4 linked regions of the Caenorhabditis elegans genome follow. The protein of the gene in region 1 interacts with the protein of each later gene in a pairwise test. Each region holds a gene or a part of one and is shown on either strand. Other genes may lie near its edges. The genes, in order: nhr-32, nadk-1, C36F7.5 and sex-1.

Region 1 (9,083 bases):
ATTGGCAGTTCACCAGACACCCGGCTCTTAAAAAAGTTTTTTGTAGTGAGAAACTTGGTTTATCGAATAAAACTATAATTGAACAGTACTTCACTTCACTGAGGTTTAAATAAAAATTAAAAGAGGTAGAGATTTATGAAGAATCAGATGAAAATTGGAAACTGAAAAAAAATCTTTAAAAAACGGTGCAAGTTTTAAAGTGACCTAGAACTGAGAAAAAAAATTTAATGAGACAAAAATATGATTACAACCTTATTTTTTCAACTTAATCGTTATCAATGGTTGTATTCTGAGTTTCTTATCTTAAAAGTGAAAATTTTGATTTACTTCTTTATATGTATGCCCATAATTTTTGCAATGTATCTAATTGAATGTTTTAATGATTAGTTAGTATGAATTGAGCTACCAAAACTTTATTAGTTTTCGAAAAACTTTCAAATCATATAAATGCACATATATATATTCTCAACAACTTATCGCTATATTACAAAAAGATGTCCCGTATTTGCTCTAATTGTTTATATTCATTAAGTTCATTTAATTAAGTAAATCAAAACTAATTATTTTATTGACTGTAACTAAATTCCAAAAGTCACAAAAAAAAATCGTAAAATGTCTTTTTTTTAAGAAAGAGTAAGTTAGAGAAGTATTTTGAAACCACTTCACTTGTGCTCAAATAACCAAATCTTTTTCGAAAATGGGGTTAAATTTTAGGGTACTTGTGTATTACATGCCCTCATTTTAATAGTAATTTTTTAAGCCATGAAAAATGAAAACGTGAACCACAATTTGTATTTTTAGGCTTAGGAAATAACATTTTCTAAGCCTAAAGAGGAATAATGTATATCACGTTTATTTTAATTGGAGAAATTAATGACAATTTAATTTAATTTGAAAATGAGGGCATGTAATACACAAGTACCAATTTTAGGTTTTCTCCATATTTTTCATGAACTTCGCATATTACCAAAAATAAATTTTTAATTTCAAAAAATCAAGTTTATTTAAACCGTTCTATAATGATATGTTTGACCTTTTTTATTACTGAAAGTTTAATTAAATTAAATCTCAATTGGCGCTTTTTTATTTGTACTAAGCTTGGTAAAGTTGCGTTAAACGTTTAATGAAAAAAATTTAATCAATGGATTTATGGCTACAAGTTTCTAATAAACTCATTTGTTTTCAAATGGTACTTATTTTAGTAATTTAAAGTGTTGAAAATTTTGAGTTAAAACACTTTAACCGGCATTGTATGCAAAGCAACAACAAAATGTTTTTTTTTGAGACCCAAAAACTCACATCCTAATTAATCAGTGCACTCAAGTTTTTAATAGCTAACATTTACCAGAACTTGCTCAATAAAAAAGTTTCAGAACAACAGTACAACTGTGACATCTGATCAATATTTTTATTTCCGTATTTGATTTTTTTTAACAGTAATGTACAACAAAGGACCATGACTATGGCATGTATTTGAAAGAAATGGAATAAATTGACTTGTTTGATTTCAGGTGGTTGAAAGAATAGAAAAATATCAGCAAGAATTGACAAGAATTTGATTCGATGGTGTAAAAAGTCACAACAATTTTTATGAATTTTGAATAATAGGACGGGGGTTTAGAGCTCGGTCTGGCGGGGACTCCAAACAGGAAAATTTAAATTTAAAGAAACAAGATGAATCAGACTCCGCTGAGAACATCGTCCATAAATTGATTCCAATCACTCATTTTCCCGAAAGAAGGAATTAACCGCACAATTTCGTACATTGTCTTGTGATGAGTCTGCAAAATAAAAAATTCCATGAAGAAACTAAAAAAAAAAACACATTTCAGTTGCATATATTTAGTCATCATTGAATAAAGACAATGTCCCTAGAGGGGTCGGAGCAAAACTTTATGTGCTCATCTTGGGCTTTATGTGGGTAATGTAGTAAAATTGTTTGATTTGATATATGATTTCTTTTTTTAATTTAGTGTAATTTAGCATTGGTTAATTTTTCAAGGCGTTATTGAATCGACTGGGAACATGGAAATATTTAATTACCGTATTTCCTCTATTAGTCTTGCATGCAAGACTAATTTTCAATCGAACCGCAGGGGTGCAAGACTAATAGAAACTGCAATACTATTAGAGGCTGCAAGACTAATTTTCAATTGCCTTATAACATTGGAAAGTTGACCAATTCTCGTCAAAACTTGTCTTGAAACCGTCTAAGTAGTACAAAATATTTACTTTTCAATGATTTTATCAATTATTTGAACACCTTCATGTTTAATGTAACCAAAAAATGACGAATTTGTTGAAGTTTCTACGAATTATTGCTGGTCAGACAATACGATTGGCCCGCAGTGGTGCAAGACTAATAGGGGTGCCAGACTAATAGAGGCTGCAAGACTGATAGAGGAAATACGGTAATTACAACTATGGTTTTTTTAACTTGAAAGATAGCTGACCGTGTAGATTTTTTTTTTAGACTTATGCTGGCAACTTTTCCTATTTATCTCTAAAAAGCTCACTGTAAACGATGGAAGCAACAGAAGTATAAACTTGATCCGAGCTTCAATATCATCAACTCCTTCAGATATTAAATACTGTTGCAATTCTTTCATAGCGACGTTGCATGCTTCGGCAGATAACGCTTTTGCCATTTCAGATAGCTGTACGTTTCCAGGATTCCAAAACATAATTCTTCGTATCGTCATAATCTCTCCATATAACATGTTCTGACTGCCAATCGGCAGTACCAGCTCATTGATTAGAGCACGCATGGGTTCGCCGAACATTCTGTAAAAAAAGTATTGTAATTAATGTTGGCTGTAAAATGAGAACTTTTATTAACAAGACCTGAATGTTAAATTTGGCAACTGTAAGCTGAGGAACTATGTATAATATGAATTAAATGGGATTGGAATTGGCTAAACCATTTCATATATTCATCAATTTGAAAAAACAATTTTGAGACGAAAAAGACATCTAGCCAATTCAAATAAGAATTATGCAAGTTTTGTAGCTCATTAAACCAAGTTGCTTAGAAAATGTATTTATCAAAAACTATATTTTGAAAAAAAATGCGTGCAAACAGGCTGAAAAAATATCTGATACTTTGTTGCAACTGTTGCAATTGCAATGAGAGCATTAACATAGCTGGACTAGATGAAGTTTGATTGAATGAAAAGTTCATTTGAAAATTTCATCTATCAAATATGAAAGTTAAATTCCCAAACGATTTTCACAAGTTAAAAAAAAACTTACATATCTCTCATTTGATTTTCATCCACAACATCACTTCCTTTAAAATTAATCGGTACACCGGGAACAATATAATTGTTGTTGACCAATACTAACTAAAAATAAAAACATTTTTACTCAGTTATGTACATCTTCAGTTTCAACTAACCCGATCTCGAAAGCCAAGTTCATAAGTGTGATAAACATTGTCTAACAGCATGTATTTGAGCGCAAATGCTCGTAGAAGTTTTGTCTGGAATTTAAATTGTACATAATTAGAGAAACATGTGTGTATACCTTATCATTGTGATCACAAAGCATCCGAAACTCGGGTAACTTTTCAACCCATTCGAACATTAAAACCATTTGGGCTTGAAATATTGTCGTGAAGTCTTCTGACGTGGCAGGGTGACGTAACGTCATTTCCTGCTCGGATAATATTTCTTCTAGACTTCCACAAAGCATTGCTCGCCTTCGCCGCTTTTGTTCCATAAAATCGTATACTTGTCTGACTATCAGGGAGCTATCGCTAGGTGGTGACGGAGGAATTGCTGGTGTGAAATCCTAAAGAAACGTTTATAATAGATGTTAAATTTGAAGAAATCAAGAAATTAATTTATATATCAAGGATAACTTCAATTAGGTAAAAGAATAAACTTCGGTCTCTTATCATATATAAACCATAACAAAAAACAACTCACTGCTAAATTTATATTCAATGGTGTGAACGCGGAGCCAGGAGAGGTCATATCACTGCTGAGCTCATAGCTTGGAGACGTCTAAAACACTTTCTGTTTTTTAAAATAATTGCAAAAGGAAGATCATACCCGTGTTCCGCCTAATCGAAGATCATAATCGGGGTCATTTTGATCGAACGATCCATTGGAGGTATGCACTTCTCGTTTTGGTTGAACTGCTTTTTTATCCATCCCAACCGCGTAACACTTGGCTAATCTGCAAGCTCGGCAAGCACAACGAGCATCTGGAAAACATTAATGTTTAAAAACAAGCCATTCGTAATTTTTCCAATAAAAAAAGTGAGTTTAAATAAACTTCCAATCATATTGCTTTGATTGAAACTATCATAAGATTGAAGCTATAGCTCATTTCCATGGCAACAAAACACGAGTGATGCGAGAGTGTCTTTCACTTCGGGTGTTGCTATATTGGGTTTTGAAGCAACACGTTTATTTTTGTTGGCAACATTGTTTTACCTAGAATACCGAAAACTAGTTCAATGCAAAAATTTTAAGAAACATTGAGTTTTCATCTTTGTAATTCTAAGTTAAAGTGATACCATTAGGGCAAATGCTTAAAATAACCTTCTTATTGCAAAAATTTTAAATACCACAAAGTAACTGTTAGAAGAATAGTTTGAATTGTTTTATTAACATTAAAAATGAAAAATCATTTAGGTTTTACCGATTTTAAGTTTTTATTTTGCCGAAAACGTTTTATGGTCGAGTTATCATTCTTAACCATGTGTTTAAACACTCCAGGTTTTTAAAATTAAGCATTTTTCGAAAGTCAAAAGTTATCAAAATAATTGCCAAATCACCAAAAACTTTAGGTGAAATTTTAAACAATCAAAATACATTTATGTTAATTTTTCAAAAATGTTACCTCATAAATTTACCTAAAAAACGCAACTTATCCAATTTTTGAAATGACTCGCGGGGTTTTTCCTAGTTTTACTAGTTTGGTTCACATCTAACACAAATGTTCCTGCTATTTCAGAATATCGAAAGTCATTTCAAATTTTGGATGAATTAATTTTATTACTGCCTTTTTTTTTTAATTAGTTGAAATAATCTCTAAAATCTTTATTTTTAAAAAAAGTGTAGTGAATTTTCTGCAGTTTTTATTCGTACTTCAAGGAATGGAAAAAAAGTCAATTGAAACTAACTGAAACAGTCAGCGATCTGATAAAACATTTTGTGTTTATGTGTAGAAGAGAGTTTTGCACGTAACAACAATCTTGACCTTATTCATGACAGGCCTGTTATCACAACTATTCGGAATTCGTTTTTTTTTTCAATTTTTGAAATTTAGAAGATTTGAAAAAATACTCACTTTTATCAACAGGACATCGACCCCCTCTTCGGCATGTGAAACTCATGTTGAAAGTGACCGCTCGTCGAAAGAACGCGTTGCAACCTCGACACGATCGAACACCGTAATGAAACCCGTCCGCCGCGTCGCCACACACCACGCATTGTTCTAAAAAGTTTTATGCTTAGTCATTCGGACATAAAATTTTTATTTTGAGTTTTTTTAATTGATTATTTCAGTTAAAGGCTATTGTTTTTTATGGAAGCTTCTTTCAGTTTTAAGTTTGAGCGTTAATCGGAACAAGTATAAAATTATATATTGTTTCTTATTAGCCAATTAGAAAACGAAAAAAAAATCAAAACTTTGAATACCTGTATGGCTCAATATTTCAATGTGTGAAGGATTGAGCTTCGTTGCATACATCAAATGCCTTCTCTGGAAAATTACATTTTTTGAAATTTTTATGTGGATAAAATTTCACAACTTTCAATGAAGAAGAACATTCGTTCTAAAGAAAAGGTTGCAATAAAAATCGGTATTGATATTATGAGCTCATCCAGGTCATAATCCATAGTAATTAGACTTAATTTAAAATTACGTAAACATAATTCCCCTCGGGGCACATGAATTCATCTGGTCTCCTTTTCACAACAGTTGGTGGTCGGCGAAAAGGTGCCCCTTCTTTCGTGTACAAATGATGGACCACACAAGAGCCGGAGAGTGACAGACGTGAAACGGTGCAGTGGCAGAGTAGAAAAGAGAGAAAATAGACTGCACGTGCTATTGACAGGACAAGCAAACCGGACTAAAGAGAGGCAGAGAATGAATGTTGGGGACGAGACAACGAAGGGCAAGAAAAGGAAGAAGTACGCGAACGATAAAACGTGAGGAGAAATGAGGTCCATTCGTGGTAAGATGAATAGGACAAATCTGGTACTCTAGGAATATGTGTGACCTCAATGCGAGAAATCATGTCGCGATCTTTGATTCTTTGCGGTCTCGATTATATCGCCAAATTTGAGTGCCCTAAAGTAAAAAATGATGGTAATCTAAAGGTTTTTGCCGACTTACTACCTACCTACAGCATGCTAATAAAACTTTAAATTGTCTATTGAATACAAGAAATGAGGAATCTCAGTAACTTAGAATGCTTCAAACTGGCGGCATTTCCCAGAAAAGCTTAAGCAAAGGTTGATACAAAATTTGTTCAGGAAATGATATATTCCTGCTAAAACCTGATACAAGTTCAATTAACGTTTGTATACCTTTAGCAAAAATCATTTAAACCGTTAAACGTTGAACAATGCATGGGAATTTGCTCCCAATCACCCTAACAATAGTGTAAGAAAGGGCACAGGAAAATTGTTATACGGTGTCTCAGAAAGTTTTAACTTTGTTGGGGCCATAAACTCTCACAACATTTTGTTCCAAAAAACTTAAAACTACTGAAAACCAACATGCCTCGTTACTTTATATGTATGTTCTAATATTAATACCTAGATACATATGACAATTTACTAAATTGGAAAATGTTTTACAAAAATTTACAAGAACTGTTTTAATGATGGATATGAAAATTTTGAATTCATCAAAACTAACAATTATAACAATTATTCAAGCAACAAAATTCGAATTGCAATTCAAAAGACATGTTTTAATCGACTTAAATATTATATCAATTGGCACTAAACGTGTGTTTCAGTTGATTCGCTACATGTATTGGTATTTTCTTTTGTTTTTCCAAAATTCACAGAAAATCAGTGGATATTCTAATAAAATGCAAAATCTATTTAAATTATCGTTTTTCCTCAAAAAAAAAACACTAAATTTACACCAAAGATCATCAGTAGAGAATACTATTTTCCCATACTTATCCTCCGCCTACAAACATACACACACACACACACGTGTTTTCCCATTTCTCGCAACGAATGACCAAAAACTGATACAACCTCTCCGTCTCTGAAACAACAAAGAAAAACCAAAAAGCGAAACTATCATCTCACATTATAATACAAACACCAGCCTACCTACAATGTTGCGTTGCACGCTCCCACCCGCTTCTCCCGCTCCCTCTCGCCCTCCTTTTCCACTTTATTCGCATCACTTTTTTATCGCTACGCAATTTCTTGACTTGTAAACAAAACCTATTGGAAACCACCAGTGTGCCTCTTGGATTGAAATTTGGAAGTGGAAAGAGAATGAAATAAGAAGATGAAATAAGAAAAAGGCGCGAACTGTTACAGAAAAACCGGAAACCTCAACTAATTCAATTTCATGTATAATATATTGAAAGTTAATATTTTTAAAAAACTGAAATGTAAATTTGTGAAACTAGTAAGCGTACTACAAAATGTTCAGCGTGTTCAAGATTATTATTTTTGAAGAATAAACAACCATGTCGGAAAACGACATACCCCAACTCGCACAAATTTGAAACACAAGGTACTCGGTTATATTTATCAAGATTAAAACTCGTAAAGCTATCAATTTTTTGAGTGTATTGAAATAATTTCGCTATTGACACGTACAACAATAAGGATAATTTATTTGTCAAAGACCAGAAACGATTTTTTTGTCTAACTTTTATTGTATTTGTCGCACATATAAAACGCTGTCATTAATTTTTTCTTACCGCTGATTGGTAGCCATAATTTCAATGAGCGCAAAGTAGGAGACACCAACAAGATACTAAATTAAGAAAGTAAGTTCTGTTGTATGCGTTACTGCAATCTTAAATTTTTTATAAAATATGGGTATGATATAATAAAAGTGGTTTCCTCACAGATCTTCAAGTTTTACATTACAATTGGAGTATCCGAGAAATACTTTTTATGATCAACTTCCTCAATTTTCATCGGAATCTCAAAAAAAACGTCATATGTTGCCTTTCTTCTTTTTTTTTAAGGTACCCAATCGTAATATCACTATCATACCAAAAAGATCATCACGTTCAATTCCCTGCTTCAATTGCAACAAACTACACACGTTCTGTAGATTTACTAGAAACACGTGGGGGACAGGAAACAACCTTTTGGAGCATGATGCGTGGAGGAATAATCGAGTTTCCCTAGAATAGCGAGGAAAATATTTGGTTGCCCGAGTAACGCTGAAACTAAATTATATATTTTCATCGAAGTTCGACCTGAGCCGCATTTTAGCATTCAGATCTGCAATGAAGATGCCGAGTTTCTTAGTGTTGCATATTTTATCAATATTCTTTCAAATTAGCAGCTGCTTCAATTGTACGGGAAATAATACGTTGTGCCAGGTATTGGGAATTGTGTTATCAAATATTGCTGATTTTATAGAGCTTGAAATTTCAATAATAGATTTTATAAGATCCGAAGAATAGCTAATAATAAGAGAAACTGACTGAATCATAAAATGTTTAAAAGTAAAACTAATTACCTATTCAAAAATTCCCTAAAAACACTCAGAAAATAAAAAAAAATCTGGTCAAATCTTTAAAAAAAAAATCAAAAAGCCACTGATTAAGGTGTGCAAACAATTTGGAGAAACTGACGGAGTCAATACCTTTTATGCTGACCAGTTGTGCTCTATGTACGCGGGAGTTCAGGATACTTCGGGGAACTACACAATCCCAGAAAGATGCGAACTTTTGTTTAGCAAGCTGCATCGTGAGTGTTGAAACTTGAAAATTGGATTAGGGGGAAGTAACTAAAAATTTGTAATTGTGAAAAATGAGATTAGAAACGTTGAGCTCTTGAACTTTTAGATTTTTCAGCTTGACGTTTGATTTCTGAGTCTAGCTTATATGTCAAATTTTTCTATTTGGTTCA
Region 2 (7,485 bases), on another chromosome or scaffold:
AATGCTTATTTTGATTATGTACGGGTTTGAAAATGAAGAATTTCTCTGTTTTTTCGACATTTTTTGATAGAATCCTTAATATCCATTTTTATAACCAGGTAAGTGTCGGCTGCTAAACTTCTTCAGATGTTTTTTTTCCACCCGGAAAGTGTCGGTTACTCAGCCTCTGGTAATTTGCTGGTTCTGTCTACGCGCACGTCAAATGCCAGCTGCTTAATGACTGGGGATGTCTCTTCCACTAGAACAGATGTCGGCTGCTCTGTGATATCCCGCTAGGTGTCGGCCGCTATAATCTCTGAAAAAATAAACTCAACCCGCCAAGTGTCGGCTGTTACCTGTTGCTGTAAACGTTTATTTGAATATCTACCCGGCAAAAGTCGACCTGCGTGATCTCAGGAGAGGCCAACCGTTTGCTATAGACCCTTTAAGTGTCGGCCGCTACTAGCACCAGAGATGCCGTTCTATCAAAACCCGCAAGGTGTCAGCTGCTTAGTCCTTAAAGATGTTAAACAATCCCGGCAGTTGTCTGCTGCAAACCCTTTAGAGATATCGAAGCATAAAGTGCCAGGCACCTCCATGAATTAAGCGGCCACAATTATTCCGGACACATAAAACGGCCGACATATCCCTGGATCCATCACGCGCTGTATAATGACCCGAAAGGTGTCGGATGCTTCGGGGATTCCAAACCCTAGTGCATCCCCATCTGGAGCTCACTTCAGTGCACCATGACCACCAGAAAACGAGGAAGTCGATGCACCATGAGTAGATTGCCTTGGATTTTAGAGATCCATGAAGTTTCCAGAACTAAGTAAACTAATTTTAAATTTCTGCGTGTTATACAAATGCCCAATGAAAAATTGAAAAATTCTTCTATTCGCTAACAATGAAATTTGTTCCAATCAATCCAACTTCCCCTTCTCTTTCTGTTCTCTTATCACGGTTACAGCAAGACATTTTTTGCGTATAGGTTCCCCATGGAAACCGTCTTGAAACCGGTTCTTATCATGGATTCGCAGTAAAGAGGCGGAACTTCTGGGGGTTAGTATATAATGGCACCTGATAAGAATGGAATTGGCAAAACTTTCCGACTTTTACTTTTCCTCGCAAACAATTAACTTTGATTCAGTACAATTTTTGATTCCTTACCATTTCATTTCAGATGGGCGCCTTCGGGACATTAGCATGTGCTTCCGCTACGGTCCTCACAATCGGATCCTTGGCAACGATGTGCCTTATCGTTTCCGACATCAATGGGCTTTACAACGACGTGATGGAAGAGTCCCGAACAACTCGTGAGGTTGCTGATGACGCCTGGGAGGAGCTGCTCCGCAAGAACGGAGCCCCTGAAGCTTCCCGTGCCGCTGTGACCGCCATGCTATTCGGAAGAAATAAGAGAAACGCTCAGTGTAACTGTGGAGCCAAGAGCAAGGGATGCCCAGCAGGACCACCTGGACCACGTGGACCAAATGGTGCTCCAGGACTTGACGGACCAGATGGGCTTGATGGACCTGATGGACATCCTGGATATGCTGCGGCAATCAAGGAGAATTTTGGAGGAGCTTGCATCTCTTGCCCAGCAGGACCAGCTGGACCACCAGGGCCAGATGGTTGTGCAGGAGAGCCGGGAACCGATGGCGCCCCAGGAGAAGACGGACAGAATGGAGCACCAGGATCCCCAGGAGGACCAGGAGAGACCGGACCACAAGGACATCAAGGAAAGCCTGGAAGAGCCGGACCACGAGGACCACCGGGAGCCAAGGGACAAACCTACCTTCCAGGATCAGCAGGACATCCAGGAAACAGTGGACGTCGTGGACCACCTGGACCACCGGGAGCCAATGGAAAGAACGGAAAGCAGGGAGCCGATGGAATTCCAGGCGCCGGAGGAGCACCAGGACAACACGGAGTTCCTGGAGTCGATGGATCCGATGGAGCACCGGGAGAGGATGCCGCGCCAGGTGGAGACGCTGCCTACTGTCCATGCCCAACGAGATCGGTGGCTGTCGAGGCAGCGCCATCGCAGGCAGAGCAGATCTACAAGACTCATTAGAGAGCTTTTTAATAAAGAATGTCGCATTTCAAATGGTTTTTGTGGTTTTTTTAGTTTCTGGGGTTGCGAAATGACTTCAGCTTGTATGGTTTCAGATTTTTCATATCAGATTATCAGCACTGAACGAGGTCTCAGCACAGGGAGTCTCGCCACAATGGGTCTTACCACGAAGGGTCTCACTGCAATGGGTCTCACCACGGAGGGTCTGGCCTCGATGGGTCCCGCTACGATAGGTCTCGCCACGATAGATCGCACTGCGGGGATCTCACCACGGGGGGTCTCACCACGACAAAGGATCTCGCAACGATGGATCTCTGAAATTTTGAGAAAATGTGCATTTGAAGCACATTTTTGAGACCATTTTATACAGTTATGAAAAAGTAATGAATTTATTTTTTTTTAATTTCAAATTTCAAATTGATGTATCACATAAAATCGTATAAAATCTATGTACAATTACGAATTCATAATTCACAAAAAAAACGACAACCCGAAAACCCGTACAATAAAAACAATACACACAAAATCATTGTTACACAATCACAGTTTTCAAAGCATCATTCGGATTGACCTCGATCGTGGCGACGGCGCCACGTGGGAACGGGATCTTTGTGGATCCGTCAAGGACCAGGTATCCGTTGGTGCATCGGGATTCGAGTTTGATCTTTCTGGCGAATCCGCGGGTCGCCGTGCGTTTGTAGGTGGCGTTGAAGATCGGCTCACGGATTGAGAAGGCGAAACCTGGAAAGTTAAAAGTGAAAGTGAGATAATGAGAAATTCTCAAATTTGAGTTTTCTGAAGCCTGACGATGAGGCCAGCCATGGGGTCCTTTTCTCAGTCCTTTTCCATGTCTGTGCAGGGTCTTATATTTGGAATTGTGTAATCAAAAATACCCCTGACATTTTGTTTCCAACTCAACAAACCCAAATTCCAATCAACTTTCAAAAAACTCACTAGGATGATCTGGCTCGAACGGGATCTTCTCATTCACCGAATTCACCACCTTCTCCACCAAATTCCTTGTGATCGGCACATCCACGCCAAGTGATTGCAGTGCCTCCAACACTGACGTCGTCGCATTCTCATCGATCCTGTTCATTCCGAGGTACCAACTCGTCGATCCGGTCCCAGTCGACACAATCAACCCGGAGGACTTTTGCTTGACTGTCTGCGAATCGTCGATGGAAATATTGTAGGTTGAGACTTTGGCGGCTTCATCCTCTCCGATGAACACCTCGTTCAGGGCGAGGTTTGTTGATTTTTCAGACCTCTTCAATGAGAAAATCGAGTTCCGGGATTCCTTTACTGTTACCCGTATCCTCGTCCTCTGCACCCACTTCAAGTTTCCAGAGACCAGACGCTCGATCAAATCGCGAGGTGGATTCTTGCCACCGACACACAGGTGTCCTTCACTTCCGATCGGGTCAGTGTTGATACCGATGATTGGGGTGTTGTCGTTGACCACGGAAGCTGCAGCCAAGAAGGTTCCATCACCACCGGCAGAGATCACCAGATCAGCTTCAGGCAGGTACTGGGCTAGCTGCTCGCGAGTCACAACTTTTGTGGAGATGCCTGCTTTGCCAAGTTCGGAGACAATTTCCTGCACTGCGTTTACTTGTTTCTTCTCGTTTTCGAGGAGCTCTTGAACCTTGGTGCCTTTTGAGGAGAGGTGCCTGAAAAGATTTAGTAGCTGGGAATATAGCCTGATAGACATTTTTACATTCAAATGAGGTCAGTAGACTTTTGTCAATTGCAGACACCATGGGAAAAATACACAGTTTCGGTTTTTAGCCTAAATATAATTTTCCAAATTTCTGTATGATAGGATATAGGTGAAGCAAAACATGGTGCATCGACCGGACACCTTATACATATTTTATATAGTGTTAATGTTATTAAAATTAAATTCAGGAAACAACCTATTGAATATGAACTTTAAGACATGGTGCATCGACCGAAAATTATCTTCTTTGGTAGCTCATATCTCTGTCTGTTTTAGCGTTATCAAAAAGTTGCTCACAGGCGAAATATGAAATATATGTTTTTCTACTATTTTGTAATAACAATTGTTTGAGTACCTAAAAGATGAACAAAGCTACAAGCTTTAGAAGTGGCTTGAGACATGGTGCATCGACCGGAACCAGCTTTGATAGCTTATATCTCATTTGGCTTTGGGTTTATCGAAAAGTTGCTTTCTGACAAAATATTTAAATATTTGATTTTCTACAGTTTTGTAGTTAAAAATTTTTTACTTTTTACTACCTATAAAATGAACAAAGATATGGACTCTGAATGTGGAGGAAGACATGGACATACATTATTGCAGTTTCAATTTTTTAGTATCTAAAAGATGAACAAAGTTACAAGCTTTAGAAATGGCGTGAGACATGGTGCAATGACTAGAACCAGCTTCCACAGTTTTTATCTCGTTGTATTTGGTTTTAAAAGAAAACTGTCAACTAATAAAATTATTTTTAGCTATGTGCCTATAGTATCTTAAAAATGAACAAAGATATGAGCTTTCAAAGTGGAGATGCAAAACGTGATGCATCGACGAGCAGCTTTGGTTGTAAAACTCACTTTTTCAGATCAGCATCGCTCAAGCCCGTCTGCTCCTTCTCCCATTGCCATCGTGTGCTCTTTCGAAGGATCAACGCAAACCGGATCGCCTAAAAATTTGCTCCAAAACAAGGCTTAAAATCGAAATTTGGCTCACCGGCTGCTGTCTGCTTCCGCTCGGTTTTCCTTGTGTTACCGGAGAAACTGGGCGCGCCACGTGGCTCACGCAGTGAGAAATTGCCAAAGCGGCCATGATGGACGGCTGGAATTATAAATTATTAGAAATTGGAAATGGATATTTAATGGAATCAAAAAAGAGAGAGAGAAAAGGTTAAAATATGATAGAAAAGCTTATCAGTTAGTTTTTTTTTCAGCCGCCTCATCACACACGAAAAGTCATTCGAGAATTCGCCAAAAAATCAACACAAATGGCACCATTATTTTCAAATTTCCAAAATTTCAAAATTTCAAAAATTTTTCCCGATTTATAAATAAACGGGGCTCCGCCTTCCGAACGTCTGGGCGCCGCCCACCGTTCCGGTAGGCTACAACAATAGAAATTGTGTGGGAGGTGGTGGTTTGTTCCCCTCGTGCTCAGATGTGCTCGCAATGTTTGATTTTTGAGGAGAAATTGAAAGTTGAGAATTGAGAATTGACACAAAGTAAATAAATGGTGTTGAAATGATACTTGACGCCATGATGGAATTTTTTGGAAAAAATGGTGTTTTGATCGGCTGGAGTATAAGGAGTATAAGTTTAAGCTGTGATATCTCTACGAGTAGAGGAGTTATCAAAAATATGCCAACTAATAAAATATAGAACTTTAAAAGTTGCGTATTTTCGTAGTTGGCAACTTTTTAATGGAGTTCACCTCCGCGGAGTTACAGACGCCTGGAGGTTCAGTGGTGAAGGGTGAGCAGTAGTGTCGAAGACTAGAAATCGTTGTAATTTGTTGGAAAGTGGATTTATCAAAAAACTGTTAAACTAGCAATTTATTTATCACATAAAACTGTACATTTTTGTAATTTGCAACTTTTTCATAACAGTAACCTCCGTTTAGTTACAGGCGCCTAAAGTTTGGTGGTGAAGCGGCAAGGGAGCCGATGAAGAGAGCTACTGAAATTTCTGCCCTTGTATCTCCTCGGAGAATAAATTTATCCTAAAATTGTTAACTAACAAATTATTTACCACATAAAACTGAACATTTTTGTAATTGTGAACTTTTTCATAAAACTACCCTCCGCTGAGTTACAGGAGCATAAAGGTTTAGTGGTGAGAAGTAGGGTGCCAATGGCTGAAGCTAGCACCCTCCGTATCTTGTCGAATAGTTGATTTGTCGCAAAATTGTTCATTAAAAGATTATTTACCACATAAAACTGAACATTTTTGTAATTTTCATCTTTTTCATAGCATTAACCTCCGCTGAGTTATAGCCGCCTTAAAAAAACACTACATGCTCAAGTTAACAACTGTTGAATAACTTTTACTTCGAAGGAGTTAAAAGGAGTTAAAAGTAAAAATACGTTATGAGAATTTGATTTTAAAAGGCTGCGGGATTCAGCTTGTGCTAAAACCTCTATACCTCGTCGAAAAGTAAATTTATCACAAAATTGTTAAATTACAAAATATTCATCTCATAAAACTATAAATGCAACCGAACGCATTTTTTGATACCACTCACTTCCACTGAGTAACGGGCGCCAAACCGTTCAATAAACAGTGCAAATGCTTTCTAACAGTCTGCGCCTCCACTGATTCCATTATATTTTTTTCTTCGGCAATTAAAAAAAAAGAAAAATGACCGTTTTCTATGCTGGGAGAACCAAAGAGAATTCGTTGAAAATCAATTTTCAAAACAAAAACAGCGGCGATGATTTCGAAACATACGATGTGACCAATGACCAAAAACTATAGAGCACGGGAGACCACAAAATTTTGTGTCCGACTAGAGAAATGGGTGAGAATGGGGGAAATTCGGAGTTTTTTATTAAGAAAATAGTAAAAATTCGAGTTTTAAATCTAGTAACTCATGAAGAAGTCTTATCAAAAAGGCTGCACAAATTACGCGATTGCTCTCCGCTCTTCTTGAGAACCAAAGAACCAAAGAACGCGTGAATGATTCAAAAGGGGGTATTTAAAGGCACATGCACACCGCCGAGACACAAAGAGACACAGTGTGAGTGTGCGCGTAGCCATGATGACAAATGGCTAGATTGCGACCTGACCCTTCTAAATTTTGTGCCCTGGGCTTCAGCAGGGCTTTATGGAAGTGATCATTGTGATATTGTAATACATTGTGACCACACAAAACTGAACAGCTTTGAGGGCTTATATCTTTGCTACTTTAAAATACAACAAGAAAAGTTTAACTGCAATGTTACAGAAAAAGATTTGAAAAATATTTTAGTAGTTGACAAAATTATGATAACCCCCTAGACAACTGAGATATCGATGCACCATGCTTTGCAAATCAACCACAGGAGCCTATATCTCTGCTATTTTCGAAGATATTGAAAAACTTCTAACTAGAAAAATGCTTGATATTTGGTTAGTTGACAAAATTTTGATCAGACCACAGGCAAGCGAAATTAATGCTAAGCGAGGTTTTTCTGGTCGATGCACCATGACTTGCAGCAAAGTTAATTTTGAAAATATTTAAAATTCAACTATTTACATATAGAAGTTTTTGAAATTCTTTCAAGCCATCTAAAAATACATTTAACTCCACGTCGTTTTGCCATGTGACCCTTCTTCCGGTGGTCACCTTGCTCAAAACAATAATATTTGCTCATTTATCTATTTATTGTCCACAATAATCCCACCGGTTCCAACACAGTACATATATTTATTTAAATGATGTGTCCTTTTGCCAA
Region 3 (6,517 bases), on another chromosome or scaffold:
GTCTTCCGATTTTGTGTCATCTATTTTAGAGACATAAAATAAAAACACGGGAGCAAATATGTTTCGGACTTTGACAAAAATTCTTATAGACAGGATATGAAAGTATGAATAATTGTCTGTCACTATAAGCTATAAGCTATAAGCTATAAGCTATAAACTATGAGTTTTTTCAAGGATTTTTCGAATAACAGTTTTATATGAGGTTTCACATGAATGAGGTCTTTTTCTACATGAAATTGCACTACAGAATATATGACGTCACGACGCACTGACTCTCCTCTCGCCCAGAGAACACCTCCAAAAAATTTGATAGATGAAAAATAAATTAGAAGAAAAGCACTGAAATAAATTACAAAAGTTCAACATACATTTTAAAAATGTAACAAAAAATGTCCGTTCTCGGAATGTCGCGAGGAAGGCGACTGAAAGGCGGGTGGACCGCGCCTCCGGTATTTTGACACTGGAAGGGAAACGTTTTCAGAGTTTAAATAAGAAAGGTACCCTGTGGTCAAACATATTCAAAGTGCTGACTATTACATAAACCTCCAAATTACTCACCATCAAAAAGGTGACACAAAATAGTAGGCAAAACTAAAATCGAGGAAGATGTCGGTGGAGTTCCATCGACAAGCATGATGGTCAATCAGAAAGTAAAATGAAAAACTTTTTGGGAATTCAGTGAGTCTCTTGGATTCTTAGAGCTGCCTTTCTTCGTTACAGCTCATTGTTAACTAATAATATCCCCTCCGCGCGAGAGTTTGATTCCAAATTTAATTTTCTAAATCTTCTATATCGAAACTCTTCTCCCCCTTTTCCTCTGGCAACAACAAAAAATGTAGAAAACTTACCCTGTTTAAAAACTAACAATACACCACAAAGAAGTGCGAATAGATACATTTTCTCTTGAAGGGGGATATGAAATAAAATGACAAAGCGACCTCTTCCTCTGAAGGTAGGTGCTCCCGAGAGGGCGGAGTCACGGGCGGTCCATTTTCCGAAAAGAAGACACAGATGGAGTCGGGAGAAATAAGGGAAGAGGGTGGAAGAGAAAAAAGAAAAAGAAGAAGACACACACATTTTATTCCTGTTTTCCGGTTAGACAAACCATGGGTAATAGCGACGATTGAGCAATGAAGAGAGCAAAAAAACTTTTTTAAAGTTGTTTTTATTGAGCGAACTAACTCATGTAAGTGAGCAATTCTGATTGTAAGACAATTATTCCAATATGATCTATAGAACATTCCAATATCCTTTTTTATCGACACATCAAACGGATACTCTAACTACTTTCAATTATCAATCCGTTGATTTCTGCAGTTAACCTAATAATAAAGTCACTTGAGAAATCAAAAATGAATTACGTACATCACCAATACAGTACAATTACAGCACAGTTTTGCAATCAGATATCCAATAAATTAATTATTTATCAAAATAAATTGTCTTCTGGAAAAAGTGAATGATCTGACGTATTTATTGGAAATGTACAAGTAATTGATCTTCTATTTTTTCTTCTTGTCAGCTCCGAACACATCTCCGCCAACAACTGCCAATGTCTGGTAGTTTGGATCCATGGTTGCTGCCTTTTGACCCTAAAAACAATAAATAATACAATATTGCAAGAAAATTAAAAATCTACCTTATTATTCGGTTGAATTGGTTTCTTTCCTCCAGGTGCACCAGCTCCTCCAACCTTCTTATCAGCTCCAAAAACATCTCCGCCAACTGCTGCCAATGTCTGATAATTTGGATCCAATGTAGCAGCTTTTTGATTCTAGAATTCAAAAATTAAAATCAAAAATCTTGAAAAAAAAAATGCAACTTTGTTCATTGGCTGAAGTGGTTTCTTTCCTCCGGCAGGTGCTCCACCAGCTCCTCCACCATCCTTTTTATCAAAAACATTGTTATTAAGACCAGCCAGCGTTTGGTAGTTTGGATCATGTGTTGCTGCTTTTGCACCGATATTTGCAGGAGCTTTTGGTCCACCAGGTGTTGCAGCAGGAGCACCTCCACCATCCTTCTTATCAAAAACATTATTATTCAATCCAGCCAATGTCTGATAATTCGGATCGTGAGTAGCTGCTTTTGCATTCTGATCAGCTGGAGCAGCTGGACCTCCACCACCTGCAGCTGGAGCAGCACCATCCTTCTTTCCAAATACGTTGTTATTCAATCCAGCCAATGTTTGATAGTTCGGGTCGTGGGTTGCTGCCATTCCGGGTTTTGCATTTGCTGGTGGAGCTGGTCCTACACCTCCTGCTCCGCCATCTTTCTTTTCGAAAACATTGTCGTTGAGTCCAGCAAGTGTTTGGTAATTTGGATCGTGCGTGGCTGAAAGTTACGAGTTTATTGATTTCAACATTTATCGAATAGACATGATTGAATGCTGTCAAATACTTACCCGCCATTGTAGGTTTTGCATTTGGAGCAGCAGGAGCTGGTGGGGCATCTTTTGATGCTGGAGTCGGTGAGCTTTCGCCCTTATCACTTTTTCCAGTTTTTCCACTTTTTGTGCTTGCTTCCGAGTTTTCCAACTTGCTACCGCCTTTCTTTTTCTGAAAATTATTCTCATTTCCAAATCATTTCCAAATTCCAAATTTCCAAAAAATCAAATCCAAATTTCCAAAATTTCGAATAAAATACCTTTCCGCACAAGAACAGAACCTGAATTGTTGCACACGAAGTGAAGAATATGTAGAAAAACGATGACATTAAATGCAGCATTTTCCTCTCTGAAAATGAGAATTTCGATTCGTCAAAAGTGAAATTTGTAAAACTTACAATGTTAAGTTGCGCGTCCAAGAGTAAAAGTTGCGAAATAACAAGGTTTTGGAAGGTAATGATTATTTTGATGCGTTTCTATTTTATTTAATTTTTTTAGAACACGCAGTTTATTGGATGACAAATCGAAAAATAGGCTTGCATGTAATGTACTAATAGGAAAAATGCGCTAATAATTTAAACAAGCATTATTCTTATTACACGTGCAACGCTTCACAAAAAACCTTTCAATAAAGAGCTTGTCAACTGCAAGTTTGCGACTATCGACGCTATCAATGGACGTTCAAGATATCATTGGAATTGCTTTGATCTTGGCAACTGCCGGATCTCTTGCAGCAATTATAGCACTGCCTGGATGTGGAGGAAAAGTGAGTTTTGAGCTGATTAGTGTTCTAGTGTTGTACTGAAGCACATCATCCCACCTACGTGCTTACAAAGGTTGTGTAATTCGCGATAGTTTTTTTTCTAAACAAAGCAGGTCGTCTTACTTCAAACATTACGTTATTCAGAAAAACGCAAAATCAGCTGAAGGCGAATCAAGTTTGAGCAGCAAAAAAGATGGTGCGAAAACTCCTGATGGAAGGGAAGGATCTGAAGCCGGAACCCCTTCTCCTGGTGGTTCAGCAGCTCCAAGTGCTCCTGCTCCTGGAGGTGCACCCCCCCCCCCCCCCCCCTGCTGCAGCACCAAAACCTCCAATGGCTGGTTAGTTATTCAGAAACAAGATATTGATAATATTCAATATATTTTAGGAACTCACGATCCAAACTACCAAACTCTTGCTGGAATCGGCAATGATTGTTACGAAAAGAAGGATGGAGCACCAGCCGCAGGAGGAGGAGGACCAGCTCCACCAGCGAATGCAAAACCCGGAATGGCAGCAACCCACGACCCGAACTATCAAACATTGGCTGGATTGAATAACAACGTATTTGGAAAGAAGGATGGTGCTGCTCCAGCTGCAGGTGGTGGAGGTCCAGCTGCTCCAGCTGATCAGAATGCAAAAGCAGCTACTCACGATCCGAATTATCAGACATTGGCTGGATTGAATAATAATGTTTTTGATAAGAAGGATGGTGGAGGTGCTCCTGCTGCAACACCTGGTGGACCAAAAGCTCCTGCAAATATCGGTGCAAAAGCAGCAACACATGATCCAAACTACCAAACGCTGGCTGGTCTTAATAACAATGTTTTTGATAAAAAGGATGGTGGAGGAGCTGGTGGAGCACCTGCCGGAGGAAAGAAACCACTTCAGCCAATGAACAAAGTTGCATTTTTTTTTTCAAGATTTTTGATTTTAATTTTTGAATTCTAGAATCAAAAAGCTGCTACATTGGATCCAAATTATCAGACATTGGCAGCAGTTGGCGGAGATGTTTTTGGAGCTGATAAGAAGGTTGGAGGAGCTGGTGCACCTGGAGGAAAGAAACCAATTCAACCGAATAATAAGGTAGATTTTTAATTTTCTTGCAATATTGTATTATTTTTAAAAAAAAAAGTAAATCGGCCATACCGCTAGTCCCGGTACGGCTTAAATTCAGACTAGAAGAGATATAAACGCCACCAGCAACCCTGATAAATCTCTTGTCCGCAGGAGGCTTAGGCTCACCCTTGAACCAAACGGACAACCTTTACCTTTACTTTTTTAGCCAATTCAACCGACTAATAAGGTAGATTTTTAATTTCGGTGCAATATTTATTTTATTTTGTATTTTTTTAGGGTCAAAAGGCAGCAACCATGGATCCAAACTACCAGACATTGGCAGCTGTTGGTGGAGATGTGTTCGGTGCAGATAAGAAGAAGAAATAGACGAAAATGATCTGAAATCTACAATAAATGCTTTTATTCGCCAAAACTGTTTTTGCCTATTAAAAAAAAACAATAGACACTACAGTAACCCATAACTGCGCGCACTCTTTATTATTTTACGAGACTATAAAATTATTAATATATGGGAACCCGTCATTTCAATCGATTTCAGAACGCTTGTATTTTCATTCTTGCTCTGACTAATTATCCGATTAACCCTCTTGACCACTCGATGTCGTCTCCTGGACAACCTGAGCAGATGCTCTTTTCTTTTTGGATTTTATATCTATTTCTTCAGTTTTGGACTCATTTGAACCACTTATATCCATAAATTCTTAAATTTTCAGAGCATGCAGAATGTTCAAAAAGTTCTGACATACTACAAGCAGAGAACAGAGCAATTGGAAGAAGTTTTGAGGCAACAGAGTTGGAATCACGAACGAAAAATTGAAATGTTTGAGGGATCTGAAATCGAGAAAGATGCAAAAATCGAGAAATTGAATGCTGAAGTTGAACGACTGAAAATTGAGCTCAAAAAGGAGAAAATGAAAAGAAGTGAGAAGGATAGAAACGACGACGAATGGGAAGATTTAGTATAATTGCACTTGAGTTGTATAACAAGAAAACGTTCAAATTATAATAAAAGTTTTATGAATAAGTTTTTCAAATGGAGGAAACGATATAATAAGAAAATATGAAACGAGATCAAGATGAAGTGAAAGATCTTACAGGCCTAGGGAACTAAGATGAAAAAAAAACTAGTTTTAAGCTCACATTATGAGGTAAAATTTGAAATATAAACATATGGAATAAATGAAGTATTTATATTATTTCGGTGTTTTTGGTGTCCGTCCACCACCTGCTCCACGTCGATTGTTCACATATGGATAAAGACTGTCAGGAAGGTTATCTTCGGTGATAAGTCGAATACCTTCCAGCTTCAAAGTTGATAATGCTCTAAAATATTATCAATTATTTAGATTGAAAAATAATGGCGAGATGTTCACCTATCCAGCAAAAATGTTCCATATTCTGATTTAGTGATATTGTCCCAGCTTTTGGTGGTTCCGTGAAATTCGCCGGCCTGAAAATGGAGATTATAATGTATAAAACTTATTTTTCAACCTACTTTTTTATTCCTCAGATTTTTAAGTTTCACGGCTTCGATAATACTTGCTTCTCGCACAAACGCTTCTTCGTCAGATACTCCGTGGGCTGAAAAATAGAAAATATGAGTTGAAATAAAATTATATCAAAACCTACATATTTCATGTCGGGGAATACCAAATCCAAGCGTCCATAACTCATCAATTGTTTTCAACTTTTCGCAAGTTTTTAGTTTATCCAATTTGTCTCTCCGTTCATTGCGAGCATCAATGAAATGAGCTAATGGACGATTTTTTGAACCTTTTCCTACGTAAAAGATTGATCGTACAAAGGTTTCAAGTGTAAGGTTCTCCACATTGCTTCCCAAAATTCGAGGATCCATAATGAGATAGCAAAACGCATTATATCCGAATCCATTTCCACTAAATTCACTCCGAACGTTTTCATCACATTTTCGAGCTCTCGACGCAAAATCAGCTGGCAAAAATCCGTTGCGAAGGACGAGTTCAAGTTGAGGCGAGTTTCTCTGAAAATTAAAAATCGAGTAAAGGTTAGGAGTAGTTCATTGTTGCAAAATAGTTGTTCTCACCTTTACAAGTATTTGATTTTTAAATATCGAAGATTTTCGCGAAAATGGTTTTGCGAGTACAAATCTAGAGAGACGAATGTTCATCTTTACTAATTCTACAATCGAGAAATGAAAATATATAACTTACACATGAAACAACGTCAGCATCCGGTGAATATCCACGGTTCGTAATTTTCCGTCTTTCAATCAGGAGTTTCTTCTCATATAGTCTTCTTGTACGAGCATCCAGAGG
Region 4 (8,935 bases), 3.0 Mb from region 1:
ACAATAATTAACTAACTGACCAGTGCCTATCAGTGACAACCTTTTTATCAGTAATTCTCGCTCATTTCGAGTGACCACTCCTAACACTACTTTTACACGCTTTACCCCATTTGAGAATTCTTTCCAATTATCATTCTCCGAATAAAAAGGAAAGTTGCAACTTGCACAAAGCACCATCGTCTCTTATTGAAACCATCTTTCTCCGTCATGTGGTCCATTGCGTATAGCCCCCTGGTGAGTAAGAGAAAATAAGATGCAAGTATACCATTAGAGTGATTATGACAGTCACTAAGCATTTCAATTGATATGTGCGTTTTGAAAGTTTTGTAGGATTGAATGATAGATAAATTGAGAACTACTGGTTGATAGTGTTTTTTTTTCAGCTTCACAGAAAATAATTTGTTTCATGCTCTTATTTTACGTTTACTCTCAAGTAACACACATTTATTTTCTAATCGATCGAGTATACGGTTTTCGTTGATCATTCTTGTATACAGTCTCATCTTCACGTCATCACCACACTGAGTCCGCACATCGCCTCCTTAGTCAGACAGGTCCACATTCACATTGCTGTCAACTCGCCATATTTCTGTTTTCTCGGTTTCTCCATTAACCGGCTCATTTGTTTTTGAGTTTCATGTTGAAACAACGGTACACTCGTATTTGCACGTCTTCGCCATTTTCAATTTTTCCGCATTTCCCTGCTGTTCGAGACGGTACGCTCAATCCGTTCGGAAAGTTGGATCTCTGCACCAAAAAAAGGTGGCAGAAACTGCTATGCACAATCTGATTTCTTACAGTTGTCAATTGATGACGTCACTAGAAGAAGTAATGAATACAAGTTTGAGTAAGGTATATTACTGATTCTCTGAATCGTGTAGACAACTATTTCGGGTGCCATGTTCCAATAGAGCTGGAACTTCTTTGATTCTATTTTACCTTTGGAAAATTTGAAGAGTGCTCCTTTTTAATAGATTATATTCTAGATAGCCTAAAAGTGGGGTAATTAAAGTGCACTCTTAACCAACGCAATAGCCGTTTGCTAGTCTCCCTTTTTGATTTTAATTACGGTCACTGGATTTTTATGTTTCCACTAATACCAGATTTACACTTTTGGGAAGTGCAATAGAAAACCATGTTGTTTTGCTCTAAGATTGAAATAGCTTGAAATTTAATAACCGATCCTTGATTGAAGTTGTCTTAGATATACATCCAGATCAATATATTTTTTTTGCGATTTTTATATTTTCTTAATTCAAACAGTATGAATATTAGTTTCAGTGTTTTTAACACTTTCAAACTTTCTATCCCTTTAAAACAACTGAAAACACAGAACATAGTTTTTTCTATTACAAATAATCATTATCAGTTAATTATGCCCCTTTTACGGACCATGCATTGCACTATCTAATCAACTTCATCGGTTAGATAATGTTTTGTGTCATGGAAAACACTTTCCCTTACGTTTTTCCTGATGATTTTTATCTTGCTTATGTATCTTAAATCGTTAAGAGTAGAGAAAAATGAAACAGCTGTTTTCTTTTTTTTCTTGGAAAAATGCCTGTGTAGATGGAAGAACATGGTGCAATAGAAACAAATTTATGAATTGTTCAAAAATTCGTCATTTTGAAGAAAGTACATCGACAGATGCACAAAATTTCGCAGAGAGTCTTTTATGCTTTAACAGTTCCAGCTGTCGTTTTGATGAATTTTCCATAAAGTACAAAGTTAGGGTGAAGTTTATTTGTGAAACGGGAATGCAATTCGTGAACTCATAAAGATTGTGCATGTTACTGAAACGTCTCTTCGTAATAGAAACCGGGGAAAAGGCATAAGTTGCATCATTAAGAGATGTTAGCTAGGGAAAGATGTGCACGAAGGTGTATTGTTATGTCCGAGTGTACAAGTGGAGGACGAAATATTGGTGATCTAGAATTCCGTTAGTAATTTAGATGCCTTACTAGTTACACAGTTCACGCAATAGCCGGCGAGCGTTAATTGTTGAAGTTATGTGCTATATTATGTGCCATTTTTGGAGATATTAATAATATTCACTCTTATTAGAGTATCCTCCCGTCCTATATATTTCATCTCCCAAGTTGTGTATGCGCAAGCGATGTGCACCAATTTTTAAAGGTGGTTGTAAACCGGCAGACCTCTTTCCAGACGGTGTCTTGTTGTGCGCATTCGCCTCTTCTCCTCCCCTTTGCAGACTGTTCATTTCTCGATCACAGTTGTCTCGTTTTTCATCTCCAACAATTGCGGACCACTGCATTGCCTCCTCTTCTCTCTCAGTCCGCACTTTTTTGGATCGATATTTTGTTTTTCATTGTGCATATCTCTAGTTTGTTGAGTTTTCTCTGTGTGATTCTTTGCAACTCTGTAAACATTATTATCTTACTCTTCTCACTACACGTCATCGCTTCCCAACATCTCGTCACTTCTCCTCACCCAAGAGGTGTCAATTCACACCTTAACATGATGGTGAAGTGAGCTCGAGTGGATAGTACTTCATCTCGAGCCCTCCTTCTGTTGCTTTATCTTACCGTCTCCTCTTCCCTAGTTTTTTCCTGTGAGAAAGGCACGCAACCATGCAACACATTGTGTATGGAATATCTAATTGCAAATTGCGCAAGAATTGCCTAGAACAACGCAATCATTTTCTCGGGGGAGAACGCAGTAATCTTGTTCGCTCAAACTATCTTCGTTTATTTTTGTGCGTGATTGTGGACTTGGCTGATCAATTTTTGCATCCATGATTTCTACCAAAAACTTTTAAAAAAAAAATGCACACATGTGTAGTAGCGGCTTAACATGTGAAGGACTATACTAGGTAGTTATAAATTGTATCACATCTTCTCAACCTAGTTGAATTTGTTGGAAACTTCATAATGCTTTTGGAAATTGTTCTATTCAGATCACTTTTGAATTTTAATTTAAGAAGTTGAACACGTTTCTTACTTTCCGGTACTAAAATATCAATTAAAAGGTAAAATTTTACTCTAAAACCATGTGTGAAGCTCACCTCATGCCACCCGTTTTTTTAATCGAAATGTGCTTGCTTGTCGAGCAATCTCCCAGTGGTGCACTCCTCCTCAGCTCCGCCTATCCTCCTCGTCTCTCCCCATCCTCTCACCCACAGGCAGGCATTCAGCGCAGATTAATACACGATACCAGCCTTCCTTATTGCTAGTTAATAGTTCCCTGCTTTAAAAACTAATTGTTGATTTCTAGATTCTAGCTTTCCATGTTCTCTTCATCAAATTGTTATCACGTTTTTCTCGAACTGCTGTTCTTTTCCTTTGTCAGCAGATTTTCCATTTCTTTCTTTTACCTTTCAGATAATTCTCTTACCAATTCTCTGTCTCTTCCCACTGTGAAAGTTGTCCGTTACTGCATTACTCAATAATTTTAATTTTCAGATGAGTTTCGAAACAAAACCTAACTATCTGTTACTGACAAATCCTGACACACCGCTTTCTGTATGCACATCTCCATACTACAGCCCTTCTGGAAAAACAGCTTCAATTCCATCATCAGAGGCAAGCAAACCAGAAGGAACAAATGGTCAATGGTCACATCTTCCGACTGGAGCTGTAAGTTTTTGTCGTCATCATTTTCATATTTTGTTCTGATTTACAAAGTTAATGCGTAGTTTCAAAATAGAAATCCAGGAATTAAACTGAAAACTAAATCTTCTCAATTTGCAGACGTACGTGACGGATGAATTCTCGTCAGAATTCCAAATCCAAAACGGATCGACAGCAGCTCAAAGTGGTAACGCCAACAACTACGCTGACCCTCTCTCACACCGTCGCTACTTCAATAACGTCAATGGGTACAATCACCATCAGTTCTATGATACGGCGTCACAAGCCAGCGTGAGCTCGCCGGCAACAAGTGGTAAGTTAGGGAGTCTATTTCTATCAAAATCTATCAGTAGGTGGGGCATATCATCAAGTGTGTGGTGACAAGTGGCAGCAACATCTACAGCAACACAGATTTTTTTCCTCACCTAAGAACATGTGTCTGAGAAGTGTTGCAAGTTTCCGAGTTTCTCTCGCCTTTTTTCTTTATTTCTCCCATTTAATTGATAGAAGAATGAGAGCAGAGAAAATGAAAAAGTCTAATAGACTTTGCAATCATTCTTCATCTCTTCCCTCTCTGGATCATATTTAGCTCGATAGGGACCAGATCAGTTGTGCTCTGTTCCACGTATCTTCCTGTATTCTAAGATGGCCTACTTTTGTACAACGAAAGTGAAGGCAAGCGGCTATGACGTGGTTGCGTAATAATCTCCAGGTTTCGTCATTTCTTTGGACGTCCGCTGCCAGACCACAGTGATGTATGGGTACGGTAATAAAAGAATGCCGATGGGTGAAAGAAGAGGAGAAGACGAAGTGTAATAAAGGAGGAGAACGTAGAGAACGGTGAAAGAGTGCGATGTAGGCGTGGTAAAAAGACTGTGAGAGTGAGAGAGACAATGAGAACGCATATGCCACAAATCTTGAAGATGTGGCTAAGAGCTTACTGAGTCGCGGAGAGAACGGGACCAAGGAAAACTAGGTAAATACTATCACGTCATCATTGAGAAGGAAACAAATATGGTGTGCACAGTGTACTTCAATAAATTTCACTGGTATACATAGCATGTTAAATCTGTAATCTGCCAAGTTGAGTTAAATTTGTATATTTCTGATGTGTAAATAAGTTTAGAAAAAGAATAAAACAGAAGAATTCGAAGAATCGAAGAAATGTTGTATGACCATATCACCCACTTGAAAATTGACTCTTCTAAAATTTCTTAGATAATTTTACATTTACAGTAACTTCATCGTTGTCTCCTCCTGATTCCTTATCAAATGGTCATACCACTCAACGTCATCACATTGGGAAGGCGATCTCATTTTGCAAAGTATGCGGAGACAAAGCAAGTGGATACCATTACGGAGTGACGTCATGCGAAGGATGCAAGGTAGGCATGAATGGTCCTAAAATGATCACTAATCACGTGGTTCTATTGAATTTAATGAAACCCTTCTCCACTCATAAATCCCCTTCTTGTTCTATTTACGAAACCTATATTTATGACCGTCTTATTTGATTTTTTGTTTTCCCTTATGTTAGACCAAGAGCGAGAGAATGAGCACTTCCCCAACACAAATTGCGCAATTATTTGGAGACTGTGTATTGCTATGTGCATTAAGGACTCTCTTTTCCCATTGTGCGAGTGTCTTGGATGCATACTAACATAAGAGGAACAAGCCTTACTCGGCAAATACATATAATGACGGTTAATAAAACATGGTTGGTTGGTCTGCTGAGCAAGTGCGTTAGATACAAAGAAAAACATCAACTGAACGAGAAAGTTTAAGCGGATAAGATGACTAATTTAAATTTGAATCCCTCATTCTTCCCTTCTTTATTCTTGGTCATTTACACATCACAACGCCCCGCTCACATTTTGAGATTTCAAAAAATGGTTCGACTTCAGCACAAAGGCAGTAAATCCTTTACAAGGGGCGTACTCTTGGCACCGACACGTGCCATCAAATTAGTTTTTTTTTGAATTAACTATTTCTTTCAGGGATTCTTCCGTCGGAGCATTCAGCGCAAGATTGATTACCGGTGTTTGAAACAGCAAGTTTGTGAGATCAAACGCGAGAGCCGCAACAGATGCCAGTACTGTCGTTTCAAAAAATGCCTTGATTCTGGAATGTCAAAAGATTGTAAGTTTGATCAGATAGAAGTGTGCAACAATTTTGTGGTGTCAAACACACCTGACGCAGTTGGCTCAATAGGGTTTACACAAATGATAATTTATTAGAAATCAAAGTCTATTGAGGTTTTAAGGTTTGATCACTGTGAAGCCTCAATAAGCTGAAACGAAAACGATTTCTATATTCGTCATAAAACCTGAAACCATTAGTTTTTCTGAAAACATTTCAAGCTAAATTTTCACATGTTCAAATAGTGTTCTATAGGATTCACAAGTACTCATTAAAAAAAGAAAAAACTCATAAAAAAAAGAAAACCGTACCTGTTTTAAGCAAAAACTTTTTGGAAGACCGAGTTCAAGTTTTTCAAAAAAAATAAAGATTTAAATGTTGTTTCAGCTGTTCGCCAAATGAAGTTCAGAAATGCAATGCGAGATGATAAGAGCCCCGATTCCGTTTTTGTTCCGGAAATCTCAACGCTAGAACGGCAAGAAGAAGTTGACGCCGTATATGAAGCTGTACTCCGAGCACACACTACCTTCTCATTTTACACTGACATTAAAATCCGAAGTATTGTTGCAAGACCATTCAATGTCGTAAGTAACTTTTGGGCATGTTTTTAAAATCATACTAAACGTTAAAATGTTTCAGAGAATCAATGAAGACTCAAAAATGAATCGATTGAATGCCTGGCAGATTTATGCTCATGAAATTGACGTGGACATCAAGGAAGTTGTAAACTTTGTGAAAGAAATTCCAAAATTTAATTTCATTAACGGAAACGACAAAGCAGTTTTACTCAGGAAAAACGCTTTCCCACTCTACTTGCTTCGCATTGTTCGTGGAATGTCGAACAGAGGGCTTATGCTTCGAGATGGAAGACTCATTGACTTTAAGTCTCTTCAACTGCTCTATGGATCATTGGCGGACGAAATGCTTGCATTTGCAAACCATATCATTACAATTGGATGTACAGACGGAGATATTGCACTATTCATTGTCCTTATTCTTTGCCAGCCACTAACCACGGAACAACAATTTTCTACTAACTTCAAAAGTCAATTGCAGTTGCTGGAAATGTTTGATTTTTACAAGAAAGTTCTTTTCCAAAAAATGACATGCCGCATTGACGGATGCGATACATACAAACAACTTATGAAATGTATTCATGAATTGAATCGACTTAGTAAGTTGTATTTCATACTGATATTTTGTTTTATTTTATATCAACTTTTTCCAGATGAGCTACATAAACAGCAACTCAATATTCTTCGAGAAAATTTGTCGTTTTTAAACCTGCCTCCTCTCGTTGTGGAAATGTTCCAACTCTCAACACTTCCGTTGCCTGTTAACCATAACAACCAAGAGGTAATTATTAAGGAGCTATAGATGGGAGGTTAATATTAAACTTAATTCAGAACCAATATACTCCTGCTCCAGAGCATCAGAGCCCTCAACCACAGCAGCCAACGCCAAATCAACAACAGACTCCCGTTCACTGCTAGCCACCTTTGTCAGATTCTCATCCGTTTTCATTCCAACACAATTCACCTTCAAATAATTTCGCTTTAATGTAGTTAAGTATTCAATCTCTCCTTCCTGCCCGTTTCCAACCCAAAAGTCACGTGTCTGATGACTGCTGTTTAATAATTCTTGCAAGGATTGCCACAATCCAGCATTTTGCTTTCTTTCTCAATAATCTTAATCTTTTTTGTCATAAGTATCACAACCAGACGGTTCTGGTTTATTCACGATTGGTATCATTAAAATGATTTCCGTGCTATAAATTTAGTATTTGAAAGAATGCCTTAATAACTTCAATATTGCAGTTTTTAATAACCCTCTGTAGGTCCAGTCCAATCGAGCTCCAAAAATGAAAGGCGTACCGATGTCAATAGAGAAACATTAATTATTTAATTTTCAACGAGTTGTAGAATTACTTTCGTTATTGATTATGAAAACGTATGCGAGTAAAACCAAAAACATCGACATCGAACATCGGAAAAATCGAGACACATGGCCGTCGACCTCTATCAGAATGGCTCCGATCTCGATTGAACTGACTTTTACCTCGAACAAGCAACTTGTCACAGGGTTCTTACTATTCAGTATTCAGCAAAAAGTGAGCACACCTGTATTGACTGAACAATATAGAATAGTTTTGGCTATTCCGTTAGGAGATGTTAATGCATTATGAAAGATTTATTTTTTTCAAGACCAAACGAAGGCATGATTCTTTTAACTTTCCTAAGAGCTTCATCTTCATGCGTTAACTGTGCTAGAAAACAAGAAGTTATGGTTATGAGAAAATTACAGGACGAGTGATATTGTTTTTGAAATATAAAACAGTGAGAATCAAGATTTTCAATAAAACTGTGCTCGCGGGCGATATTCTAACTACAAAATAACTATTTCCAAACGCAAATGTATCATCTTAACCAATGGAGATTCTTGTTTTTGCTTCTTGAAATTAATAATTTCGGTTCAGTGCTGAAACTTTTAAGCTGAAACAAATTTTGACTTTTTTCACGATTGCCGTGACGGAACCAATTAAAATTAGGTTTTTCTTTATATGTTCCGAATGTTTAACTCTTTCACTCGATTCAAATTTTCCAATTATTGAATTGAAGTTTTACGCTGTCTATTCGCAAATCTGCAAAGCTCTCCAAAAGTTTTTTTTTCTTTTTCGCACTGCAATCCTAGATTGGTGAGGTAGTGTTTTTTATTTACTTATTTTCATATATAAAAATATTCTGATAAATGCGTTCATTTCATAATATGCAGTTTTTGTCCGAATTGGGATTAACAGGTCCAATCGACAAAGGAATAGACAGACAAGAAATGGCCAATGACAATTCTGAATGTTTGAAAACCTATTCAAAAGTATACAACCCGGGTTTCGACATTAAGTTACATATTATCTCAACCAAAAGCATTAGCATTTTAAAACAAATTAGAAATCTACAACTGATATAAATTAAATTCCGTATGTTGGATCTTTAGTGTGATCTTGGATGGGTTCATGGTGCACAGGGGGCAAATTTTGTTGAGGTGGTTGTTGCGGTGGTTGCTGTGGAGGTTGTTGTTGCTGTAAAAAGGGTAGTAATTATTGGATTTTCTGAATGTCAGTTTTTGGTACCTGTTGCACAGGCGGTTGCGCATTTTGAACAGGTGGTGGATTTGCATTCACCGGTTGAATTGGCTGTTGAGCAGGGTGA

The links.
Region 2: the proteins of nhr-32 (region 1) and nadk-1 interact in a two-hybrid assay, tested with the Caenorhabditis elegans proteins (one large-scale study listed by BioGRID).
Region 3: the proteins of nhr-32 (region 1) and C36F7.5 interact in a two-hybrid assay, tested with the Caenorhabditis elegans proteins (one large-scale study listed by BioGRID).
Region 4: the proteins of nhr-32 (region 1) and sex-1 interact in a two-hybrid assay, tested with the Caenorhabditis elegans proteins (one large-scale study listed by BioGRID).

Annotation. Positions count from the first base shown.
Region 1 is NC_003284.9:13,248,596-13,257,678, reverse strand, and holds nhr-32 (Nuclear Hormone Receptor family), read right to left. Parts: upstream 5,716-9,083; 5' UTR 5,704-5,715; coding exon 5,652-5,703; intron 5,449-5,651; coding exon 5,302-5,448; intron 4,211-5,301; coding exon 4,056-4,210; intron 4,008-4,055; coding exon 3,930-4,007; intron 3,793-3,929; coding exon 3,526-3,792; intron 3,482-3,525; coding exon 3,398-3,481; intron 3,345-3,397; coding exon 3,253-3,344; intron 2,785-3,252; coding exon 2,517-2,784; intron 1,782-2,516; coding exon 1,680-1,781; 3' UTR 1,395-1,679; downstream 1-1,394.
Region 2 is NC_003282.8:1,454,464-1,461,948, reverse strand, and holds nadk-1 (NAD(+) kinase), read right to left. Parts: upstream 4,875-7,485; 5' UTR 4,866-4,874; coding exon 4,770-4,865; intron 4,723-4,769; coding exon 4,634-4,722; intron 3,727-4,633; coding exon 3,008-3,726; intron 2,795-3,007; coding exon 2,586-2,794; 3' UTR 2,428-2,585; downstream 1-2,427. Other genes in the region: col-106 (Nematode cuticle collagen N-terminal domain-containing protein), read left to right, coding at 1,163-2,053.
Region 3 is NC_003279.8:9,573,301-9,579,817, forward strand, and holds C36F7.5 (DUF236 domain-containing protein), read right to left. Parts: upstream 3,027-6,517; 5' UTR 2,782-3,026; intron 2,733-2,781; 5' UTR 2,725-2,732; coding exon 2,644-2,724; intron 2,556-2,643; coding exon 2,402-2,555; intron 2,332-2,401; coding exon 1,823-2,331; intron 1,775-1,822; coding exon 1,640-1,774; intron 1,593-1,639; coding exon 1,503-1,592; 3' UTR 1,459-1,502; downstream 1-1,458. Other genes in the region: rig-5 (Ig-like domain-containing protein), read right to left, coding at 849-1,077; F42H11.1 (Collagen triple helix repeat protein), read left to right, coding at 3,057-3,149, 3,291-4,046, 4,095-4,229, 4,500-4,589; lem-3 (Ankyrin repeat and LEM domain-containing protein 1 homolog), read right to left, coding at 5,417-5,546, 5,597-5,673, 5,719-5,804, 5,853-6,222, 6,413-6,517.
Region 4 is NC_003284.9:10,199,909-10,208,843, reverse strand, and holds sex-1 (Steroid hormone receptor family member cnr14), read left to right. Parts: upstream 1-3,422; coding exon 3,423-3,596; intron 3,597-3,710; coding exon 3,711-3,903; intron 3,904-4,826; coding exon 4,827-4,975; intron 4,976-5,587; coding exon 5,588-5,729; intron 5,730-6,116; coding exon 6,117-6,313; intron 6,314-6,368; coding exon 6,369-6,903; intron 6,904-6,957; coding exon 6,958-7,085; intron 7,086-7,135; coding exon 7,136-7,222; 3' UTR 7,223-7,515; downstream 7,516-8,935. Other genes in the region: nucb-1 (NUCB1-like N-terminal domain-containing protein), read right to left, coding at 8,695-8,805, 8,857-8,935. UniProt on the Caenorhabditis elegans protein: Transcriptional regulator which is involved in the sex determination and X chromosome dosage compensation pathways.